Arabidopsis thaliana: one gene and its partners. The protein of the gene in region 4 interacts with the protein of the main gene of each other region in a biochemical or structural test. Each region holds a gene or a part of one and is shown on either strand. Other genes may lie near its edges. The genes, in order: BLI, iqd2, CO and BIN2.

Region 1 (7,748 bases), on a different chromosome or scaffold from region 4:
CGTTAGAAAGGAGAAAAAATCATAACAAATGAAGATTTTTACGGTGGGCGGCGGCAACGAACAAAGTAGGTTATCTTATCGAAACTATGAGGTTAAACAAAAGATTACACATATTTATAGAATAACAAAATAGGATTATGGTAACTCAAAGTCTCTAATATACATCTTTTTATATCAACCACTCGTTTGTTTTAACCCAATTCTGATTGGTTACTGAAGATAAAGTGTAATCCACAATGGCTTCTAAATGTTTTAAATTTTAGATTAGATTAGATTATCATTAGATACCAGATAGTTCCTCTTGTTGAATGGCTCATATACTCTTAGATCAAATTGTGTGTGTGTAATCACCTAATTGTACTTCGGACTGAAATGAACAGTATTTGAACATAACCGATAGTGTTAACACTTGTATTTCATAGTTTGATCAAGTCTTCAATTTAAAACGAGAAGATAAAATATATCCGAAACCATACAAGATTTTTTCTTGGTAAATTATATTTGCTAGGAGGAACACTTTAACTTGGCTATATAATCAACAATTACAAAATTCAGACAAAAACGCACTCATATAACAACTACCTTTCTCTCTGTTTAAGCTTCCGAGTCTCCTCTATCCATTTGGAACTCTTCAAGTTCATGGTGTTTCTCACTATACCATTTTTGCTCAATCCAATGAAATCCAAAATTTTGGATCAAAAGAACCAAATGAATTCTTCCAAAACTAAAGGAGAAGAAGCAATCCATGGCTGTGCCCGGGATATACAGAATGGCAACAAGGGTCACGACTGAGCAAGCCATCCATGCATTAGAGAAGCTTGCTTGTCCTTCTTTTCGACGGTCCTCCTGGGAACATCTTCATGATCCATCCTAGAACCCTTTCTACCACCTAAAGAGAGAGAGAGATATCATTAAACTGTGGTCTTTCTCAGATTGAACTTTATAAACTCTGAACACAGAGAACATGAGAGAGTACCTCATCGCCTTCATCTGCAATCGGTGTTCTCTCTTGAACAACATGAGTGTCCGGCTGCTGCTTTTCTGGTGAAACATTGTCTATGGCCATCTTCTGCGCTGTTACAAGCTCTAACCTTTGCGTCTGCGCTTCAAGTTTTCTGGATAACTCTTTGTTCAGCTCCTATGGTTATGAAACATGAGAAATATAAATGATTTGGGGATACAGAATAAACACACAAACAGTAAAACGTAACTTATAAAAGACCCAGAGAAAATAAGGAGCGCAGGGACCAGCATGGAAAAAAAAAAGAGTATAAGAAGAAGACAAGGCCTTGGATTTTGAGTCTATGAGGACTCGGAGTACCATATAGAAAGCTCAGCCAGAGAACTTATGCATGATGTTATGGTGACAGAAAATTCTTACTCAAGTCAAAGAAGACATGTTTTTAGCCCCATGAATTTATGTTACTGTACCTGCACATGCGCACTTCGAGATAACTCAGATGACAGTGCTTGCACCAGTTCTTCCTTCTCAATTGCCAACTGCAGCCGAAGAAACAAAATAATCATCACGTTATTATCCAGATTGAGAAAATGATAGCACCTTGAGAATTAAAAAGTATTGCTTCTCACAGCTAAAGAAAACATCAAATCAATCATCCATAAAAACTACCTCAGCAATCAGCGTATTAATGTTATGAATCACTCTCATCTGATCAGCTGGGACGCTCAATGAAAAGCCTTCAAGAGTTAATTGTCTAGTTTCAGGAATGATAGCTGTATTAGATGAATCACTTTCGAGCAGAGTAGTAGAATCTGTTTCCTGGTTGGAGCTCTCTGGCGTAGTATCTGAGATTGCTGCACGAAGAATCCAAAGAGTCAGGGGACTGGTTAGAAGTCAAAGATTAAACTTGAAACTTTTTATCTAAGGTTTGCCGAAGATGCAAATGTATGAGTTTAGACATCCAAAATACGCTTCAGATTTCTTAAATAGTGTGCAAAGACCATTACCAAGACCTTCTGTAGAGGTTGACACGTTCTTTCTGCTAGTTGAGTTTTTACTCAGATCAGTGGATTTTCCACCAGATGAAGCTTTCTGCACCATAGTTTGTAGGACCTTCTTCTCTGCAACAGTAGATGCAGAAAATAAGCTAATGCATTGTTCAATCACATTACTCCTTAGAGGAGTAGATTTCAATGTGCATACCTTCCTGAAGAGCTTTAATAGTAGATTGTAAATCTTGACGATCTTTCTCTAAGCTCTGCAATTTTTTCCTATTGAAGTTGATAGGTAAGATAAAATAGAACCCAGAAAGCCATAAAAGTTACAGACTGAATCCATAGGGAGTTTTCCAGTATCCCACGGTTCTTTTTGGATCAAACATCATGTAAAGGTGAAGTTACGGACATGAATAGAATACAGTAAAGAGCCTACTTGTAAGATAACATTTCTGTTTGTGCCTTCTCCAGTTCCCTCTCCAGCTTTAACTCATTAGATCTGAGTCTGAGAGCCTAATATATGTTCCAAGAAAAATCCAAGCTAAACAGGTAAGCATCTGAAGGTAGACGAAACAGATATTTCACAGCTGAAATATTCAAAAACTAAACTAAACATGTCACTGCACACTTTTGCAGCTAAGTAAGCCAAAAATGTTAGTTGTTTTTTCAAATTTAATGTTATTGTAAGACATAACATCCAAAGCCAAATACCTTATCTTCCAAACTGATGACTTCAGAAGCCAGTATTTGGGAACGCTCATCAGCAGCATTACATTCTAGCTGCGCGTTTGCATACTCAACCCTGACAGACTCAAGTTCGCCCTGGACAGAATTAGTGTTAAATCAAGTAACAGCTTTTAAAGTAATCTAGAAATAGCTCCAGTGCATGAAAGAACATGGCATGCAATTACTCATCCAGAATCATACTCCAATTTTTAGTTTTGTAAGTAAACATCAAACAATCTAATAGTACAGGGATGTAGAAAAATGCAATATCATGCTTTAATAAAGTATACTGTTCGATCATATACAACTGGAATTTGGTGACTGTATAGGCAGTTAATACTTACCATTTGGGCTTGGATCTGTTGATATAGCCTCTCCATGTCATCTTTTAGTTGGTTGACAAGACCTCTCTGTATGAGATAGAAACGAGAACAAGTATTACATAAAACATTGGGAGGATTTGTGACTATTATAAAGCTCAGTGGACACCATGTCTTATAGCAAACAATATATAACATCATGCATTCTCAAAAGTAGACAAGCCCAGTAAATGTCAACTAGGTAGACATCCTGAAGCACCTTCTCCAAACACATAGTCTAACACTGTGTGTTTTCGCAACAAAGTCTAAACATGGTTTAATTCAAGAGCATAACGCTTTAACGAAAGACTCAAATCACATCCATCCACATCATGAATAATAAATATTCTTATATTTCCATTTCCCAAGGATCCTAAAACCACATGACAGTATACTCTTGCTAATAATTAAGCATGATAAAATGCAAATAATTAGTCATCTACTATAAGTGGTCAAGATTGTTTTCTAGTACAAAAATCAGAGTTGGCCAGTATTCAGCTAGGATGCCATAAGCTTGCATGTACCTGCTGGTTATAAGTGTCTGTCATTGAAGAATTCTCTGATGCTAAGGATTCTGCCAGTGCACGTGAAGCATCAAGATCCCTTTGCAGTGAAAACTTTTCTTGTGTTAAATCCTCAATATGCTGCAAGTGAAAAATGAAACTGTAGCTCAGAAAAGTCACAGGACAAAGGGTGTACAAAGACGAACAGTGTTAGCTAACATCCTAAAGAAAAATCAAAGAGCAATCCAAGACAAGGTAAGAAGATTATGATCCAGCCAGCGAGAGGCATCCACTCAATATCTTTGACGATTTGGTCGTCTTTATATAACATCAGATCAATTCCCCACTTAGTTCTTCTAAATGAGAAGACCATACTAAGTAGCAATTGACAATACATTAACAAAATAAAAGATGGTGCAAGAAATAAGTATCTTACCTGTTCCAGAGCAGTAAAATCATCATTTTGTTTTGGCATAGAGAAATCAGTAAAACCTGGCATTACTCCATTGGCAGCAGGATATAAAGAACTCCGAAACTTTTCAAATGGATTAGGATAATCAGATGCTCCGCTTGTCAAAGATGATGGTCCATTACTGTCTCTTCTCCCTGATATATAAGATGGCCCAAAACCATCACTGCCAGATAGTTGGGAACCACTGGATGTAACCAAATCCGCTTGTATCTCAGGGTGTTGATATTGAGTCTCTGGAGCTCTTGATATATTGAGGGAATCAAGGAAAGACGGACGAGATCTCTTCACAGTTGCTTCACTCTTAGCTGAGTTTAATGGTGAAGAGCTTGTGATATTCACACTGAAATCTGAAGGTTCAGAAGGTCGAGATGATGTGTCTGGAGAATTAAACAAATAACTGCTTGACAAAGTTGGCTTCTGCACAATGCTACCTCCTAGTTCACCACTTCCCTGTTGGTTTTTGGCAACTTCGTCAAAAGACCCTGCCATCCTGGTAGTAGGTTGTAGAGAGTCTAGCAACAAAAACCGTAATGATAAATTAGGTTGTTGCCTTTAAGGAACAAAAAAGAAGGAGGGTTAGGACAAAATACATTACTACATTAACCTCATATGATAGCCACGTACCTTTTCTGGATGAGGTTAATCCACTGCCGTGAATGAAACCATCCATTTGCATTGAGGTTCCAGAAAAAAGAGATGCAGTTTCTCTTAGAGTAGAAGCACGATCAAAACTTTCACTCGATTGCTTGTCTATATTGCTATAAGGTACAACTTCAGGCCTAGTATTCACTGTTAAGTCCTTCGATGAACCTATCAACTCTAAGCTATTAGAAAAATCAACTTTGCCCACTGATTCCTGACCATCATCTTGTCTACTTCTTTCTTTGCTTCCATCATCCATTGCTGTATTCGAAAATGATAAATTATATACATCTTTGGTATGGGTTTCATTTGAGGTAGATTCAGCAGATTGCTTGAGAGGTCCATTAGAGATAGATGCACCAGCTCCATCTGAATCTATGACACTTTGTTGGCTATTATCAACAGGTTGTGTATTCTGTGATGCCTTTTTAGCTTTTTCTGCTGCTTTTCGTTTACGAAACTGCTCAAGCTGAAAATCCAGAAATTAAACGATAAGAAACACACAATTTTACGCATTCATCTTTAAAAAAAACAAGCTTTTTGTCGAATAAATCTCAATTCTGATTGCATGCGTTAGGACATCAATCTCAATTCCAATATAAACAACCCACCTAAAAAAAATGATCAATTGACTCAGCACCGACAAATTTTAGGGGCAAATTCAAAGTAACGAGAGAATCAAACAAAAGATGATGATTATGATGATGATGATCTACCTTACGGCGTCCAGCTTCAACGTCCTCTTGCCTCCGGGAACTAGTAGCTGATGCCATTGAAAAATACTCGAAATCTCGCAGAGGGAAATGTTCCCTCTCCAATTGCTTCAAATCAATGCTTTTTCAATTACCATTGAATCCGTTTTAGCCAAAGCCATTCCCGGAAATCGCCGTTGTTATGATTGAGGAGAAAACTCAAATTTCAAAAAGCCCAGATCCTGACGCACAGATCGAGAAGATATCGTTGAAATTTCGGGGTGGAGGAAACAGATGGAGATCTCGAGAAAACAAGTTCAAAAATCGATGGAATTGTCAAACAAAGAAATCGAAATTAGGGTTTTCGATCTGAAGGAGAGGAGGACGAAGTTCAAATATTAATTTTGTTCGTCAGATCTCTTTTTAACAGATCCCTTTCTTTTTATTTTCCCCTTCTCTGCTTTGAATTAAACGTTTTTACTCGTTTTTTTTTTTCTTTGTTTGGTTGCAATTTTTTTTTAACGTTCACTCATTGTTTGTTTGGTGAAATTTAGATTTCATGTAGCTTTTGATTTTAAAAATGTATAAGAAGTGTGTAATGTATTTGTTCATAGTCTGTTGTATTTTTTGAAAAATAAGAGAGAATGTTTAGGTAGTAAGAAAATTAAGAGAAAAAAAAATGGAGAGAAATGAGTCGTGATGGACACATATGACAGGTAAAGAAAATAAATAGGAGCATCCATGTGGCCCGTGGAACATGACGACAGCCCACCAAATTACTCATGTTTTTAAAGAGAGAAATTGACAAATTTTAATATCAATAGAAGCTTCAAATTCCTCTACTTTAGGACAACTAAAAGAGCAAAGTAATGAAGAAAAAAAGTGAAGCAAGGTCAACCTTTTGGTATCATCTAGGTGTTTATTATGGGGTTTGGTTCACTTTTTTGTTTGCATTGTTTGGATTTTGGATTTCTTTTGGAGTTCTATTTCATATTATCAGTTTTTATCTTTGCGTATTTAAGAAACTTTTACTGAGGTAAAATATTACACAAATTGCCACTGATTTTAGAGAACAAATTCAATTTAAAAAACTCGAAACACCGATTTGTTTTGTAGAGCTGAAGCAAACCTAAACCAAAAACCTAATCCAACCGGAACCATTTAATTACCGTTGGTTTTCTTTGGTTTGGTGTGGTTCAGTTTGATTAGATTCAAGGATATTTAGATCAAGCGATATAATTTTATTTTATTTTTTGGTTAAACGCTATATAAAATTTGACATGTATATTATGGCAAAATCACAAATGCTGGTTATCAAAAGATGAAAAAATGAAATCTGTTTCTTTGGGGCAAAAAATATTACAGAAATTAAATTGGAAAATGAGATTAACGACTTTTTTTTTTTTTTTTTTCGTCAAATGAGATTAACGATTTTTAAGTTTGAAATGAAAGTTAAACCCTAAAGAGGCCTAAAACCCTAAAAGGCTCATATAGTAACTAGCAGCTGCTTCTAGACTCTTCTCCTTCGCTTATTAAGCCCTCTCAACTCTTCTTCTCTCTCTCTCTCTCTCTCCGCCTGTTCTCCATTGATCTAATCTAACTCGCTCATCAGAATCATCTCTTCATCGTTAATCCTCTTCCTTCTCACTCACCATGTATCGTTTCGCTTCTAACCTCGCCTCCAAGGCAAGGTAATGAACTCACTTTCTTCGTGTTTTTTATTCACTCTCATTGGAAGCTAATGAGGAATTAAATCGATTTGGGTTTTGATCTACTCTCTTCAAATTCATCTGGGCTCTCGAAATCTACTAGCTTAATCCCGATTCTGAATTGCCAGTTCTGATAATAAAAATGGTGTCTTTATTGTTCTCTGTTCTTCAGGATTGCTCAAAACGCTCGCCAGGTTTCCAGCAGAATGAGCTGGAGCAGGAACTATGCAGCGAAAGAGATTAAGTTTGGTGTTGAAGCTCGAGCTTTGATGCTTAAGGGTGTTGAAGATCTTGCTGATGCTGTTAAAGTCACCATGGGTCCCAAGGTACTCTTTTTCTTCTACACATTTTGATTTGATTTGGACATGATTTGGCCAGAGGTTCCTTCCTTAGCATGTGATTTGGGTGACCGGTTGATTCTGTATCGAATTTGGTCTAAGACTTTCTGCTTTATGTGATTCTAATTTTGAAGGGACGTAATGTTGTGATTGAGCAAAGTTGGGGTGCTCCTAAAGTGACAAAAGATGGTGTTACTGTTGCCAAAAGTATTGAGTTCAAAGACAAAATTAAGAACGTTGGTGCTAGTCTTGTGAAGCAGGTTGCAAATGCTACTAATGATGTTGCTGGTGATGGTAAGATATTTCATTTTGATTGATTATGCGGTTCATAGTTGTAGAAACTTTGCAAAA
Region 2 (5,610 bases), on a different chromosome or scaffold from region 4:
TAGAATTTCAAGATACTCCTACAATAATTCAGAGCGAGAGAGAGAAATAGATTAATCCAGCTTAAACGGAAACAAGATCAGACCAAAAAAACTTACCATTATTCAGCTAAGTAGTTGTTCGGAGAAAACTCAATCGGAATAAAAAAAACAAAATTTCCTGATAAATTCTTCGATTGTCGAGTTTCTCGATCGAATTGGGGAATGGGTTTAGGGTTCTGGGAGGAGAGAAATAAAAATTCGCTGCTGCTTTTTTTTTGTTTTTTTTTTGCGTGGGCAGGAGGTCGGTTTGAAGAGAACTTCCTTCTTCTTTTCTATTTAATACTGTCGGTTCAACAAATTTGTCGGTTCAACAAATTTGTCGGTTAAGTAAGTCAAAACCGACCATTTTTGTAAGAAAAGGTCAAAACCCCTCTTCCTCTACCGGAGGGTTTGGTATACAGTTTTGTTCCTTTCATATCGCCGCCAAGGCAAAGTACTATACCTAATCTTCCAGAGAATGTTTGATTTCTCGCCAAGTAAATAAAAAAAGGGAATCTTCAAAGATTCTTTGACAGGATTATGTTTGCGATTACAAGTAAAAAAGATATGAATATTTTTTGAAGGAAAAACATACAAGCACAGATATTCATAGTTCATAGTACATACAAGCACAACCTAACGTAGAATAAGATATTTACGACTACAAATAAAAGGTATTACAAATTAATTAAGCTTTAAAGGATCTGCATTACAATACAAATAACATCATCATATTCCAATTCATCCAACATTAATAAAAATAACTTAAATATTCAAAGAAACAAAAGAACATGAATTTTAAAAGGTTATAAAATTTATTATAGTAAAAAAATAAATGACTGGCGCTTACACTGCACAAATGAATTACGAAATGAAGGGAACACATAAGAGACAACAATCTCGGACACATTCATAAGTGGGAAAATAATTATATTAAATAAAATACCTCAGCTGCCTGCTCCGTTGGTCACGGTAACGCCGCCACTCTCCACCTTAGGGGGAGCTGAGAACCGCCGTGGTTTAGGCAATGCAGGCGAAGTTGGATACGAGAGCCGTTTCTTAGCTGATGCCTTGTCTGTGAACCCTTCGTTTTCCTGTGTGGTACCACCTAATGGGCTTTGGGGCTTGAGCCTGGCTCGAGCTGATTTAGTTGGAACCATGTAGCTCGGGAGAGCTGGTGAGCCAGCGAGGCTCTCATCGTCTCTGACTGATGAACCAGCAATGCTGTGTCTGCGGTTCCTCTCGGACAGGACCGAGATTGTGCTTTTGGAGTCGTCGTCATTGGATTTCCTCGAGGATTGGTTTAGCCTTGAGGGAGTTGGAGGTGAGAAGAAACTGTTTTTGTTTCTTGGGGTCCCTCTTGCGGATGATGGTGTGTTTGGTTGAGTTGAGCCATTGCGGGTTAGAGATTTTGCAGCTTCGTTGCGGTTAATAGAGCCCTTGACCGAGGCAGCATTGTCATTGTTGCTGTTGCTTTGTTCTTTCTCGGAACTCTCTAGTGGCCTACCAGCCATCCATCTCTCTAACCAGCTCCAACCCCATGTCGGGTTGCTTGGATCCATGAACATCGGGTTTCCAGATTTAGAGTTGTTCTTCCAGTTTTGCTGCAAACATGAACATATAGGATCATTACAACATTCAAATGAACCACAGATTCAACTTCAATGGATGTGTTCACTTTTTAATTGTATCTTTCCACACATTCAGCATTATAGGTAACGACTGGAGTACCTGATGAGAGTATGAATAAGCCAATGCCCTTTCCCTTCTCATTGTTGCCTCGTACTTGCTTAGCAAATTCGCTTCAACTTTCTCCTTTGATTGAATGCTATCATTCCAGTTATCCCCGTTCTGTGAGCAGCAACAGGAAAAATAGTACTTTTATAAGCAAAGGCCCAAAGATTCCATTTTCAGATAAAAAAAGAGACAGTAAATTGATAGTGTAAGTAAACATCTATTTGATATGAATGGTAATGCTACTATTAACCCTTTCCAGACTAATAAGCAGAAACATAATAGCAACTGCTAGGAAGAAATCAACAGTTCTTACTTCTTAGCAATCCTCTCACCAAAAACAACGGAAGAAACTTTGAATAACAAGAAAAAAACTGAATCAGATGAATATGAGAGACAGACCTTCAAGCCAGCTAGCTCTTTAGCATGTTTCTGAAGGAGTTGTTTCTGGCGAGCCTGATTCTCTTCTGACATCCTGATTCTCCTAGCTCGGATCTGCGACTGTACACGAGAGAGAGTCTGCATACATTTTAGAGTATTTGCAGCTTGCCGCTTAACAACAGATCCTTCCATCAATAACTTAAGTCTGACCAAACCCCTCATTGCCCGCAACGCTCTCCTTGCCTGTATTTCAGATATTACACAAAATAAGATTATACTCAACAAAGCAGCTTCCTTCACACAAAATCAAGTGCCTCGGTCAAACTCATACGAAATTCCGAAGGAATTAAGTTTCTGCAGATAATAAAGCCAATTGCAAGAGTAGAATTACATACCAAATAACCTCTAAATATAGTCTGGATCAAGATAGCAGCGGCTTCTTCGTTTGACTTTCCAGCAAATCGAGTAGGTGTAGCGCGACGAACAACACCAGGAGCAGATGAAGATGGAACTACAGGAACATCAGTAGCTGTAACATTCACAGCATCTGCTGTAGAAGGAGGTGAAAGATCCCTGTTCCGTTCAACAATCACTTCAGCTACTCTCACTTCACGAGGAGCAAGAGCAGGAGGAGGAGAAGAAGAAGATTGTCTAACATTATCCACAACAGGAGGATTAGAGATAACACCATTTTGTCCCTCAGCCAATTTTTGCTTCGACTTCTGAAAACACATCAACATGTCAATATATACAGACTATAACATTAAGTCACATCAATATACAAAAAAAAAAACTTCACCTTTGAATCTGGGCTGAATGCTTTCTTAACACTTGAAAACCATTTAGCTTTTTTCCCCATCTCTATGTAATCCTTCACAGAGAAGAAACAAATTATTCCACAAGGAAACTGAATCTACTGATCTCAGTAGCTAAATTACGACAGATCTCGAAATCTAGAGCTAAAATTCACCAATTGATACTGAATCAGGGAGAGAATGAATCGTACCTATGAGAAGACAGTGACACCAGATCTGATAGACGAAAAAGCTTGAAGATAAAACCTGGAGGAGTCAACTAAACCACAACGCGGCTTCTAAGTAGTGACCTTATCGGAGAAGACGAAAAAGCTTAAGAATCGAATCGATTGGATCTTTGCTGAGGTGCGAAGATAACTTTTCTTCTTCGAATTGCTTTCACATTATCATAATTGCAAATGGAGAAGAGAGAGAGAGGAGAAGACAGATGGATTCAAAGCTGTGTGAAGAAGAGTATTTGTGACGGTGTGTGTTTGTGCGTGATGCCACTTAATTGGGCCTCTTTTGTGGGCCCCATTCTACTCTTCTTTTTTTCCTTTTCTTCTTCTTAATTTACCAACTTCGTCTCTCTTTTACTCTATTCTTTTCACTTTTTTTTTTTAGTGATGAGTTTTATTTCTTAAGTTTCATAAACACTGTTTTGTTAATTTTTCTTTTTATAGTATAGTATCTTTAGATTTATTATTATTTGGTGCATTTCAAAAATAGTATACATAGTTGACATGGTATATTGGTGTTTTCTCTAAAAATGTTTGAAATTTTCTTAAAATATGGATAACGTGTAAACTGGAAAATGTATTGGATTTTGTACCTTTTTTGAAACTAGATAATTTAATGAACAAGTTATGAGGATCGATAAAACAGTGACCATATAAATTTTAAATTAATTTATAACTTTATCCGGTAAGATTGGTCTTTAATTTCACCTAATAAAACAAAATTGTTGCAATAAAAAGTTTTTATTCGTCTTTAATTTTTGTCTTTAGGCGGGTTAAAATATAACACTATATTTTTGCCGTTAAATATCTGTTATTAATCGAATTAAGATTTAAGATCGTATTTTTTGTCGTCAAATACCAATTGTTTATCGAATTAATTCATCTGCATAATCCGTATAAAGTATGTGTGTTTTAATACACGCTTACATTACTACAACCGACAAAACATGTGAACAAAATATGTCCACCAGTGAGACAGCCTTTATCATTTTAAAATATACTCGTTAACAAGCCACCATATACGATACTTAATACTTTCTGGATTTGATAAATCATGAAAATTAGTTGGTCATTGTACTTGTACACCATATCATATTTTATGTTCAGATCCACCCACACTACTAAGTTAATCTCCGATGGATGAACAAAGAAAATATTTGACTCATAATACCTAGTGACACAAACCATAAATAATGCTTTGGAAAAACTCGTTTTATGCAACAGCTATTAGCAGACTGTATTTTGCTCTATGATCGTGTATATCCACCACAAAAGCAATTTCCCAAATTATATGGATTGACATACAGTGAACTAGAACGATGATTGAAAGAGTATATAATTTTTGTCCACTGGATTAAGTATTATCTGCCTGAAATCATTGACTTTTTTCGGAGATAAACCCAAAAGGTTCCTTATCGGTGGCCAGCTTGTACCAGTCTTCCTGTAATTTTTGTGGTTAAGAAAAAAAAAAAAAAAAAAAAAAAGCATATATATGTCCAATCACTCCATGTGGCGTCTTCTCTGTTTCGTTAGTATAACATCCCTAAAATTATTTTCATATAAAATAAGTGAGAACTAGCCGTTGGAATTTGATAATTTATTTTAGCTAATCATATGTCCAACATATCAAAGTCCTATGTATAACTGTTTATATAAAGATATGCCTCTGATAACTTATAATATTAATAGGTATCTGTATATCCAAAGTCGGTAGTTGAATTGGGGATATGGACATTCCACCTAATGTATAATTCAAACTTTGTCGTTGCCAATAAAATAAAAAATAATTATAAGCTATTATGAAAATTTCTCTCCCCGTCGGTCAACTTTGAGTTGGTCTTTGCATTCTAGCAAGTGAAATTTATAAGTTAATTAAACCGGGGGAAAAAAAAGATAACTAAACCAAAATTGAACCGAAAAATCCATTTGGCATTATCTGAAATGTAAGTGGGGCATGGAAATAAGGTCAGGGCCGTTAGCGTTTTAAAGATATTTAGATGAGCCAGTGAGTTTGGTAACGACCCGACATTTAAGTCTTGTCGTTTTGTAACAGAGCAACGGTAGAAGATTCCTATATTGGCTAACACCTAAACCTGAACCCATGATAACGCCATACCTTTTTCTTCCCAGTGAATTTAATTGAATTAACAGTTTACAACTTCATATATAGATTAGTCCATGTCCATCTATATCACCTCAGAGAATTTAATTTCACCACTATTCAACTTTTGTTACTACTTCAGTTCATCTATTTTTTCAGTTAAACATACACATTTAAAATAATATTTATAGTTATAAGAAAACAATTTTATAATAATATTTTTTAAAAGATAGGGTTACGTTCAGCATGAGAGTTTTTGGGAGATTGAGTTGAAACAAGAACTGAGAAAAACATTTAAGAATTGCAAAAGAGAATGAAGAGTTACTGGTTTTTGATCGAACTA
Region 3 (5,077 bases), on a different chromosome or scaffold from region 4:
TGTCGAAATGCTTAGAATAACTCATCGTGAATGATAAGATTATTATCTTTTGATAAGATAAAGATAGAAAATGATCATGCAACAACAAAAAAGGAAACTTCCTGAAAGAAGATAAGCTTAGTTCGGAAGACTACTTGGGCCGTCCCCTGAAACAGAAGTTTATCGCGCAAGAATAATTGGGCCTTATATCAGATCCTTTGGCCCAGCCCGTTAGTATTAGACAAGACCAGTTGCGTGCGTCATTGTTGAATATTTCGAAGTTTGATGATCGATCGTCGCTCAAAATTTAGGGCTTTTCACTTCACAATCCCGATTTGGGGTTTTCTGGTAAACTCCTTTAATCTCAGCTCGTCAGACAAAATCGATCTGGGATGAATTTGGATCTAATTGAGCAAAAAATTGTGTTTTTTCAATCTATTGAATTTCACATCCTTAAACCCTTGCATATTCAATCTATTGAATTTCGCATATTTTTCCTCAAATTTATCCAAAATCATCCCAAATCTATTGTGACGGGTTGAAAGTAAGTTTCTTTATCGAAAATCAGTTTGAATGAATGTTAGGGTTTATATTTTGATGGTGACTGATTCCGATTTGTATAAATGTTAGGGTTTATACTGGTTTCTGACTCTCTGGTAAGTATAGAGATGATTATATATTAAATGGTGTTTTAAGGCGTGTTCAGATATAGCTGTGCTTGTGTTGTTCTGTTTTGGCATTTTTCATTTGTTCTGTCTTTACTTCTTCTTAGTCAGTCTGTGGATTTCCTTTGTAATGGTTATTGGTTAGTTAGGAACTACTCTCAGGCCTTCTTCACATGACACCAAAGTTTTTTGTGGATTATGTGGAGGAAATTGCTATTTTAGTATATGGTCATTGAAGCAAGATAAGAACCTTAGAAAGCAGAGTGTTATAATTTTTCTGTCAAACTCATGCTGTAGTTGCAGACTTTTTCCTACTTCAGATTAAGGAGAATGGTTTTTTTTTTGTAAGCAAGAAGTTAAAAGAGTGAGAATCTATGAAGGCCCAGGGACCATGTAAAGTTTGGGAATGGTTTTAAAATTTGATGGCTTTGAGAATCGATCTGAACTATCCTTAGATTTTTGGAAAAGTGCAAAAAAGTGCAAAGTGCAGCATCCTTATATCACTTTATGAACTTTTCACGTGAGGTCTCGAATCCATCACTTAACATTAACACATAGTATAAGCTATACACTTGGTTGTTATTACTTATTTCTTCTTACAGTTCTTGAAGCCGAGAACATATATGGCTGATGGTTTCTACAATTAGGAACGTGATATGACTCATTTTAGTAAGAAGTTGTGATTTACAGCTGAGGAGTCTGTGTTATCAACTTGAATTGTAGAATCTTTTTGTTGTCAGGGAGGCGTGAAAGTGTCACATGTTCAGGTTATCGGGAAGTTATTGGCTTTGAACCTTGGCTTCCCTCTTAGTAGTTAGCAAGGTGAAATCTGCGTTTTCACTTCTTGATGATCCATATTTCACAAATGGGGATCTGTACCAATTAGACTGGTTTTGTTTAACTAATGCAGAGAAAGAAGAATACTATAGTTTTAATTAGCCAAAACTACAAACCCATTTGCACAACAGTAGTAATACTTCTTGAAGCTAAGAATTTCACCAAACCTAACATAATCTCAAACTAAAAGTAATTTACAGCTTGCAATCTAGTTTTTCTTTTTGCCACAGGAGTATCAGAATGAAGGAACAATCCCATATCCTGTGTTGTACATTAGCATCGTGTTGAACCCTTGCTCCTCGGCTTCGATTTCTCTCTTTGCGAACCGGCCATTGACCCGCGGTCTTATCTCTGCATATGCCTTCCTCGAAGCATACCTTATTGTCTTCTCAAATTTCCTTGTCTTCCTCTTCTCTCTGTATCTCAGGACCCTGGCTTCTCTGTCCATTGGACTGAGTTGTGTTACTGTTATCATCTGGCTTGCAGGGTCAGGTTGTTGCTCTACTGTCCCTTTGGGCGTTCTTGGGTGTGAAGCTGTTGTGACACATGCTGTTGACTCCGGCACAACACCAGTTTCCATGGATGAAATGTATGCCTAATGACAGAAACAAAGACATTCTCAATCCCCCTGGTAAGAGGACTAAAGAGAGTCGATGCAAAAGGAAGCATATATTGTTTTTATTATAGACTTCTGGTGAAATTTCTATGTGCTATAGATCAACTGTTGGCAGTGGATCAGTGGATTTGTGTGTATGATGAAAGAATTCACCCTGCTGCGTTATGGGAAGATGCTAAATTGAAGGGGTAACAAATATACAAAAGCCTTACGTTATGGTTAATGGAACCATTGTCGTTGTAGTGAGTCCCTGAGGAGCCATATTTGATATTGAACTGAAAATTCTGTTGGTTATGGCACTGGTGGCCCCTTGATTCTTCAAGTTTAAGCGGAACAACTCTATCTCCCCCGTAGCTCGTCTGTGGTACGCTGCAGTTTTGTTGGTGTTGACTGTATTCACCTGTGAATTTGTAGTCCATACTCGAGTTGTAATCCACAAGGTTTAGATACTCATCACTAAACAATAACCCATTGTTTTGGTTATTGTTATTTTTGTCTGAATTAGGGAACAGCCACGAAGCAACCTCCTTGGCATCCTTATCACCTTCTTCACCTTCCTCTTGATCCACCACCAGTCTCTTCTCTGGATCGGTCATTGTTTTCTCGCTTTGGTGGTGAGTAGTGGTCATGGAGCTGAAAGAGTTTCCAGAAATTGGTAGAATTGGAACTCGCTGATGGCGTCTAGCAAGTGGGTTTGCAGAATGAACCTCTGAATCACAGGCTGTGCATAGAGAGGCATCATCTGCCTCACACAAAAAAGCAGCCGGAGCACGCTCACATGACTCGCAGACCCGGACACGTTTATGGCGGGAAGCAACGCGATTGGCAGAGTGAACTTGAGCATCACAGCTCATGCACAAGTAGGCAGAATCTGCATGGCAATACACGGTGCAGGCGTTTGACCGGCATGTGTCACAGGGTCGTGCCCTGTTGTTCTCTCCACTACCTATGTCGTTACTCTCTTGTTTCAACATAATAACTCAGATGTAGTAAGTTTGATGGTGTGGGAGCTGGTATCTGAAAGAAGGGGCTAATAAAGCTTATATCTGGTGTGAGAGAATAAGTAGAGGGGAGATCGAATCCTGAGTGCCTACACGTGGCACAGCGTTAGTGGCTCTTACATGTTATTGGATCCTCTTGCAGCTAGTTGAGCTTTTGGGAAGGCCTATGTGTAAAGTGTAAAGTGTAAAGTGTAAAGTGTAAACATCTCCTCCTATGCACTTCTTCGTTGGGACCCGTTCACAAGTTGCTTAGGTTTTGCCACTTGCCATACTGAGATTCTCAAGAGGAAGTGGTCCGGATAATGCCATGGTGTTGCAGGCAAATTGTTACTATTTTTTCGTATCACCTTTTACTATTTTCATATGCATTTTATTTAAAGTAAAGCTAGATTCGTTTTATCTCTTTGGCTTTATACAAAGTTTAAGTGGTTGAATATTCATCCTGAACCTTGTGATTACTGTTCAGGTATCTCTCCGAGTAAGGCTTCGAGTGTCAGAGCCATCACCAACTGTTATGGGTTGACTACCTATACAAAGGTTAGACAAACTCGTGAATATGGTATAGTTGTTGTTCCATTATTTGTGAATGCATCTGCATCATTTAGAAAGATTTGCAATTGAAACTTTCGAAGGATTTTCTGATGAAAAGTGTTATAATGTTTAATCTGGTTCATAAAGTCATGGTAATGAGAATCATATCGGAAAAGTGACATGAAAAACATAGAGACGGTGGATTTTCTAGGATCAAACTCGAATCCGCCAAGTAGTCTTGAGACTACAAATTAGAATTTACCTGACGCACAAGTTAAAACTTAAAAGGCATTTTGGAGTCCACATGAGCAATAATTAGATTTATCATATATAGTATGTAGAAATTTGCACTTGGTAACCATTATAGTAAGTAGTTACAAAACATGACTCATGAGTGTTGTCACATCTCTGTAATTTGGGTTTATGATGATACTCTATACTATTTATTGTAGCTTTATTAGATCTCAACCTGTGGAAGTAATCTAATACAAACGACACTTGTATGGAATTTTCAGGACATGTTTCTAAGATCACAGAGGTAATTGTGAAGTTTTCTGCTACACTCATTTACTAGTCCACATGATCCATAGATGCAATTTAACCATCTTCACTCTATTTGGTGACCCATTCATGTGTTTAGCATCGTGGGTTTTCCTGTACTAATAACCATTAGTACTTGGAGTTGCCTTGTTGGTGTTATGCTCATAATGTTTACTATGTGGAAGCTACAGGATACGATACTCTCTAGGTTTGAGGACTAGCTCCAGTTACGCTTTTGGGTCCAGTGAATGTATGATACCCATTATGTGGTCCAAAAAGAATGAGATTTGACGGACGCTCTAGTGGCCAAATTCATATGGCTACCTTCACTCTATGCCTTAAGAGCTGAAAAGTGAGTGTTTTTTTTTTGTATAAAATGCTGGTCCTAGGATACACTTTTCGCATCTCTTCCTCTTTCATATTTGCTTACACCGCACTTCTCTTTCCCATTTTGAACTTTAAACTTTGAAAAGTTTTTTTTTGCTTGGTAATTGGAACTTAACATACAAGTTCTTGTTATTTACTGGTTTTACGATGAATGTAATGGCATTTAGAATTGTTATGAAATGGTTATATGATCATTGAATTCTAAAGAAAAGATTCTAGGTTCTTTAGTAAGCATTTTTGGAGATCTTTATCCTGCCAAGTTGGATAAGTTGAGGCATCTTTGGCTTTTAGTGCTTTGGTGATGAAATTTTTTGGAGATTGTAACGTGGTTCGAGTTCATGAAGAGTAAATTGTGTATTGGCCTTTTCACTTGTAGCTCAAGAAAAAAGTAGTTTTGCTTATTATTGCTCGTTGACAGTCTCTAATTAAGTTTATTGTTGTAGCGGTTTGGAACTTCTCTCACATGTGTAGGCCTTCGGATAACTGTTACGAGTAATAGATCATATGTAACAATATCCTCA
Region 4 (5,658 bases):
AACTCGGTTATACAATGAGGTTATCGTTCAGGCCTCTGGAAAGAAAATCAATTCTATAATACTTCAATAACTTTTTAGTAAAACTAACTGGATCAACTGATGAATCATATATCAAAAAAACAAAAAAAAAAACTAACGGAGGTAGACAATAGTTTAGCTGGAATGCTTGAAGAAATGGCAAGAATATGCTTCGAGAAGTTATGATTTATGAAGAGGTTACCTGCAAATTTTTTCATTTCTTTTTGCCGACGGTTGGCTGTTAGTTAGGAAAAAGAATTTTTGTTATAGGATTTTCTCTTCCGTTTCGTACAAACCCAATCATTATTCTCGTCTTTATACTTAACTTTGCCTCTCATTTTCATGTTATCAATCTTTTAAATTAAATATATCGTCAATGACTGTTATGAATAATTAGTTCTTCATTCTCTGCCTTGGTTCGAACCTCAGTCACATGGTGCACGTTATTGTGATTTCCCATACCTCAAGAGTTATTCAAGATCCCTTACAGAAATATATTTATATAATCTTTTATCTAATGTAGTTATTTACAAACATGTATTATCTACCAAAATAAAAAGGGCTAAAAGCTTCTTGAGTGAGACCGCTTTTGGTTCGATTCATTTTCCTACACTCCAATAGTATTACACTATTGTATATAACAAGAATCGTGGGATTTGTTTAATCCGTACAATGAAACAAGAAAGATATACAATAACTTAATATCATTTTTTTTTGGGGACAATCTTAATATCATTTCTAATTTCTATAGAACCAAAAACACTCATAACAACTTAAACTTTGTTTTTTGTGAGAAAAATAACAACTTAATTACTAGTTACTACATTGACAATTTAACATCTTCAGCTAAAACCGAATGTATATGAACATTTATAATCTAGTTGCTATTGTATATACGATTGGATAATACGCATATCGACATTTAAATAATTGAGCCTGAAGATAATTCACAAATATGCAATGTAAATCCGTCCATACAGCCAAAAGTATGTATGTCCCATGCATAATTGAACAAAAAGAAATTATATTAATATTATTTTTGTTGTCTTCTGCAAATGCTAGGACTGCTATCATTATCATCATTGATTTTAATATTGATGTTTCCAGAAAAATAAATAAACAAATATAAAGAAAAAAACAAACACAATAAGTAAAGCTACACTATTAGGTAATAATTAAAGCTCATTTTTAAGTCTAAAATTTTAATTATAAAATAAAAACATTAAAAAGTTAAGACCCAAAGAAACATAAATGCTTTTTTCTTTCATCAATGTCAAAAAAGAAGTTTTCCCACCAAATGGTCAAACTTGGATCTTTGACAATATTGTTCCAATTTCATCATGCCCTATCTTTTCTATTTATACACATACCTTAGATATAATTATTAAACCCAAAATTTGTGTTAAGAAAAAAAATAGACCCAAAATTTGTGTTAAGAAAAAAAATAGACCCAAAATTTGGAATATATATATAAGTCACCGCTGGAAAAAAAATTATTGCAAGTAATTTCTTATATGAAATTGGAATGATAATATTTTGATCAAGTATCCATTACTAAAATTTTACAACGCTAGATAACGAGATTGCTTGAAGTCGAACTTGTGAACAAATTATAATAATGTAAAACTAACTTGTATTGACTAATCTTTGATTTTTTTTACAATAATGAGTGATATTACATTCATTTTATTAACTAAATACAACGAATATGATAAATATTCAGTCCTCTTATAAACTTTATGATAGTGAAAATTTGAGACATTGACAATTCTAGCATTCTAACATTTTATGAGATTACATGAAATGTCAATTTAGACCTTAAACCAAACGAATACATGATTCAAATTTGACCGACAAGTACATGATGCCTTCCCTTTGATCACGAAATTTCCACAAAGAGTCCGTGTCTGCGTAATTAACCAGCAATTTCAAGGGTGTTTACGTAATTGTAGCTTAACAAATAAAAAACACGAAAGAAGATGGCGAAGAAAACGGAAAGTAGTAGATAGATAAAGAAAGAGAAAGAGAAGAGCTGGATTCACATGGTCTTGTTCTTTCTCTCTCCTTCTTTTCTCATCTTGCGGCTTCCCTTTCTCTCTCTATCGCCACAATGATCATTACCAACCAAACTGATTGAAACTCATTTGTTCTCTCTCTCTCAAATCCACTCTCTCTCTTTCTTTTCTCTTCTCCTCTCTGTGTCTCTATCGCCATGGCTGATGATAAGGTAAAGCTGCTTGTGTTCCTTTTGCTGTCTTTTGAAGAAGAAGATCCTGTTTTTTGGTTTTTCCACATTTGACCCTTCAATTAGTTGTCTTGAGATTCCTGTTCTTACAGATGTTTTGTGATAATAAATCTAGTTTAGTTAGTACTCTTGAAGTTGAACGGTTTTGAGTTCTGGGTTTGTCCAAAGTTTTGAGCTTTCGTTAACTTTTTGACTTACCCTGAGATCTCTGAGGGTTTTGAGTTCTGAGCTTAGAATTTTCTAAGTTAGCTCTGTTGGGATGATCCATGTCTATATATCTCGATCTGTGATTAATCCAGAGTTTATACAAGCTGCTAGATCCATAATTGAACATAGATTAGTCCTTGTTTGGTTTGTTATATGTATTTGTTTTGTTTACCATTCTTTTGGCGTGACAAAAGTATATATTTTTAGTTTTAACTAAATCAGATTCACTCTGCGTAACGGTTATTTTGTAACCACTCTTTTAGGATAAAAGTTTCCTTCTTTAGACTTTTGATTCTCAGACAAGCATTATTCTTTTAGCTTTTGATAATGGTTTTGTGCTGATATTAAAGCTTTTCTCTTTCAGGAGATGCCTGCTGCTGTAGTTGATGGACATGATCAAGTCACTGGTCATATTATTTCCACCACAATCGGTGGCAAAAATGGTGAACCAAAACAGGTATTTTTAAGGCTTTTAACCAAATAGACTCACTTTTATGTATATGCAAGATTTTGATGGTTACCAATACATTTTTCTATGTTGTTGTTAGACAATTAGTTACATGGCGGAGCGAGTTGTTGGTACAGGCTCGTTCGGGATCGTTTTCCAAGCAAAATGTTTGGAGACTGGAGAAACCGTGGCGATAAAGAAGGTTTTGCAAGATAGAAGATACAAGAACCGAGAACTTCAGTTGATGCGTGTGATGGATCATCCGAATGTGGTTTGTTTGAAGCATTGCTTCTTTTCGACTACAAGTAAAGACGAGCTTTTCTTGAACTTGGTTATGGAGTATGTCCCTGAGAGCTTGTATCGAGTTCTGAAACATTATAGTAGTGCAAACCAAAGAATGCCTCTTGTCTATGTTAAACTTTACATGTATCAGGTAATAACAACACACATTCATATCTTCCATTTCCAAAGTTGATGTACATAAGATTGTTCTTAGGCTGATATTACTTCCTTTTGTTATGTTAGATCTTCCGGGGACTTGCTTACATTCACAATGTTGCTGGAGTTTGTCACAGAGATCTAAAGCCTCAAAATCTTCTGGTATGTGTAACATTTTAAGATTGAACTCTTTGTTTTTTTTCTTGCCTTTGTTTCTTTCGTTCTTAATGTATCTCTTCTGGTCTCTTTCTATAGGTTGATCCTCTTACTCATCAAGTCAAAATCTGTGACTTTGGCAGTGCGAAACAGCTCGTAAGACTTTGTGACATATAAACTCATTCGACTTGTAGCGGTTGTTGTTTTCTGTGATCTTGTCATTTACTGTTGAAATTTACTTTTGCTTCAGGTTAAAGGTGAAGCCAACATTTCTTACATCTGCTCACGATTCTACCGTGCACCCGAGCTCATATTTGGTGCCACTGAGTACACAACTTCTATTGATATCTGGTCTGCTGGTTGTGTTCTTGCTGAGCTTCTTCTTGGTCAGGTAAACAATTCTTTCAGTAACCAGCTTATTCAATCTCCATGTGTATATTTGCATTAGGACTCATTGTGACTATATCATGTTCTTATGCAGCCATTATTTCCCGGAGAAAATGCTGTGGATCAGCTCGTTGAAATTATAAAAGTAAGAATCTTTAAACGATGATTCCTTGCAAATTACATTCTTTGGCTACAAAATCCTCACTGTATAGTTGTTGTACACAGGTTCTTGGTACACCAACTCGAGAAGAAATCCGTTGTATGAATCCACATTACACAGATTTCAGGTTTCCACAGATAAAGGCACATCCCTGGCACAAGGTTAGTGTCTTTTCTCTTTTTGCATGTGTTCTTGTTTCAGTTTCTTTCTTCACACATCAACTGATCATAATTACGTTTTGGTTTAGATCTTCCACAAAAGGATGCCCCCAGAAGCGATTGATTTTGCATCAAGGCTGCTTCAATACTCTCCAAGTCTAAGATGCACAGCGGTAAGCATTGGTCTTGAGGTTTCTTCAGTCTCTAAGAATCCAACTGAATCCTTACTATATATTTTGTTTCCTCGTATTTCAGCTCGAAGCTTGTGCACATCCGTTCTTTGATGAACTCAGAGAACCAAACGCTCGTTTACCAAATGGACGGCCTTTCCCGCCTCTCTTCAACTTCAAACAAGAAGTAGCTGGATCATCACCTGAACTGGTCAACAAGTTGATTCCAGACCATATCAAGAGACAATTGGGTCTAAGCTTCTTGAATCAATCTGGAACTTAAAAGGGATCCTGCAAAAGACAACTACTTTTTTATATATAATGTACCATTACACGAGCCACAAGGTCGTAGTTGAAGGCAAACGTGGAGGACACAATTCAAAGTTTTTCCTCCTCAAACTCGTTCAGACAAAGCCAGCTGCTAGCAAAACCAACTCCCCCAAATCTGCGAAAACAAAAACTCTCCAGTGTTGTATCTGCTTATTTCTCTTCTCTTTTCAAGTTTGGTGAAAAACACAGTCTCCTCTTTGCTTCATTTCTTCTTTCTTTCCCCCTTATGTAAATGAGTTTAGTCAGAAGTTTTTTTATATAGTAAAGTTTGGGCAGAAGGTGAAGAATGTAATCAAAGTGATACTCTTTCAACGAGGAGCTTCTTTCAAACACTTTTTTTTTTTTTCAAACACTTCATGAATGGATACATGGTTTTGCTTTAAGCATAAGTATATTTGTATTAAATTTTCACTCAATTTAATTGCACGAATCATTACAAAAATAATATCTCGCTACTCATATAAATACCCTATAAATAAATAAGTGAATTTTTTTTATCTCTCATGGAAATTTGATTTATGTATTTATATGTTTTAAGATTCGAAGAAATTTTTAAATAATGAAAATTTACAAATATATAATTCTTAATTCAGAATTTCAGATATTGAATTACTTATTGGATTTTTAAAACAAAAAGAAAATTACATGACTTTTTTTTTCTTTTTTTTTTTTAAATATCTGTTAGTTCAAGTTAAAAGACCATACATTTTCTAAAGGCGGGACCTATATCAGGTTAAATTCATCTCCTTTTAGAAAAAAAATATATTTGGGAAAGGCTTTGATAGCAAGCAATTAAAGTATCCGAAACTAACAAAACCTATCTGGTCTTGGACTCTTAGTCTTTATATAAACAACATCAGATAGATCGAGAGACCATACGCAACAATTTACTAATTTCTCTTCTCCTTCGTTGCTTTTGAAACCCTAGTTATTATCGAGAG

What was found.
Region 1: the proteins of BIN2 (region 4) and BLI form a complex in vitro, tested with the Arabidopsis thaliana proteins (one study listed by BioGRID).
Region 2: of the proteins of BIN2 (region 4) and iqd2, one has a biochemical effect on the other in vitro, tested with the Arabidopsis thaliana proteins (one study listed by BioGRID).
Region 3: the proteins of BIN2 (region 4) and CO form a complex in vitro, tested with the Arabidopsis thaliana proteins (one study listed by BioGRID).

Annotation. Positions count from the first base shown.
Region 1 is NC_003074.8:8,662,010-8,669,757, forward strand, and holds BLI (BLISTER), read right to left. Parts: upstream 6,032-7,748; 5' UTR 5,432-6,031; coding exon 5,375-5,431; intron 5,128-5,374; coding exon 4,641-5,127; intron 4,529-4,640; coding exon 3,981-4,528; intron 3,686-3,980; coding exon 3,566-3,685; intron 3,093-3,565; coding exon 3,027-3,092; intron 2,779-3,026; coding exon 2,668-2,778; intron 2,470-2,667; coding exon 2,393-2,469; intron 2,233-2,392; coding exon 2,165-2,232; intron 2,083-2,164; coding exon 1,969-2,082; intron 1,816-1,968; coding exon 1,631-1,815; intron 1,501-1,630; coding exon 1,432-1,500; intron 1,139-1,431; coding exon 977-1,138; intron 890-976; coding exon 809-889; 3' UTR 404-808; downstream 1-403. Other genes in the region: HSP60 (heat shock protein 60), read left to right, coding at 7,004-7,041, 7,232-7,385, 7,532-7,691. UniProt on the Arabidopsis thaliana protein: Is required for normal leaf, flower and seed development and controls cotyledon and leaf patterning by inhibiting premature differentiation. Regulates the expression of a subset of PcG target genes.
Region 2 is NC_003076.8:709,415-715,024, forward strand, and holds iqd2 (IQ-domain 2), read right to left. Parts: upstream 3,720-5,610; 5' UTR 3,140-3,719; intron 3,005-3,139; 5' UTR 2,993-3,004; coding exon 2,933-2,992; intron 2,856-2,932; coding exon 2,529-2,855; intron 2,377-2,528; coding exon 2,155-2,376; intron 1,870-2,154; coding exon 1,750-1,869; intron 1,623-1,749; coding exon 966-1,622; 3' UTR 534-965; downstream 1-533. UniProt on the Arabidopsis thaliana protein: May be involved in cooperative interactions with calmodulins or calmodulin-like proteins. Recruits calmodulin proteins to microtubules, thus being a potential scaffold in cellular signaling and trafficking.
Region 3 is NC_003076.8:5,169,627-5,174,703, forward strand, and holds CO (B-box type zinc finger protein with CCT domain-containing protein), read right to left. Parts: upstream 3,460-5,077; 5' UTR 3,072-3,459; coding exon 2,310-3,071; coding exon of another isoform or gene 2,169-2,309; exon of another isoform or gene 2,077-2,168; coding exon 1,717-2,076; coding exon of another isoform or gene 1,712-1,716; 3' UTR 1,423-1,711; coding exon of another isoform or gene 1,385-1,422; 3' UTR 1,278-1,384; coding exon of another isoform or gene 1,268-1,277; 3' UTR 536-1,267; downstream 1-535. Other genes in the region: AT5G15843 (uncharacterized protein), read left to right, coding at 1,268-1,277, 1,385-1,422, 1,712-2,070, 2,169-2,285, 2,603-2,756. UniProt on the Arabidopsis thaliana protein: Transcription factor that acts in the long day flowering pathway and may mediate between the circadian clock and the control of flowering.
Region 4 is NC_003075.7:10,294,244-10,299,901, forward strand, and holds BIN2 (Protein kinase superfamily protein), read left to right. Parts: upstream 1-1,894; 5' UTR 1,895-2,230; coding exon 2,231-2,245; intron 2,246-2,282; exon of another isoform or gene 2,283-2,834; coding exon 2,835-2,927; intron 2,928-3,018; coding exon 3,019-3,351; intron 3,352-3,443; coding exon 3,444-3,518; intron 3,519-3,611; coding exon 3,612-3,668; intron 3,669-3,762; coding exon 3,763-3,903; intron 3,904-3,993; coding exon 3,994-4,044; intron 4,045-4,124; coding exon 4,125-4,220; intron 4,221-4,306; coding exon 4,307-4,390; intron 4,391-4,472; coding exon 4,473-4,670; 3' UTR 4,671-5,146; downstream 5,147-5,658. UniProt on the Arabidopsis thaliana protein: Negative regulator in brassinosteroid signal transduction pathway important for plant growth. May be also involved in auxin signaling pathway. Phosphorylates and increases the degradation of BZR1 and BZR2/BES1 by the proteasome.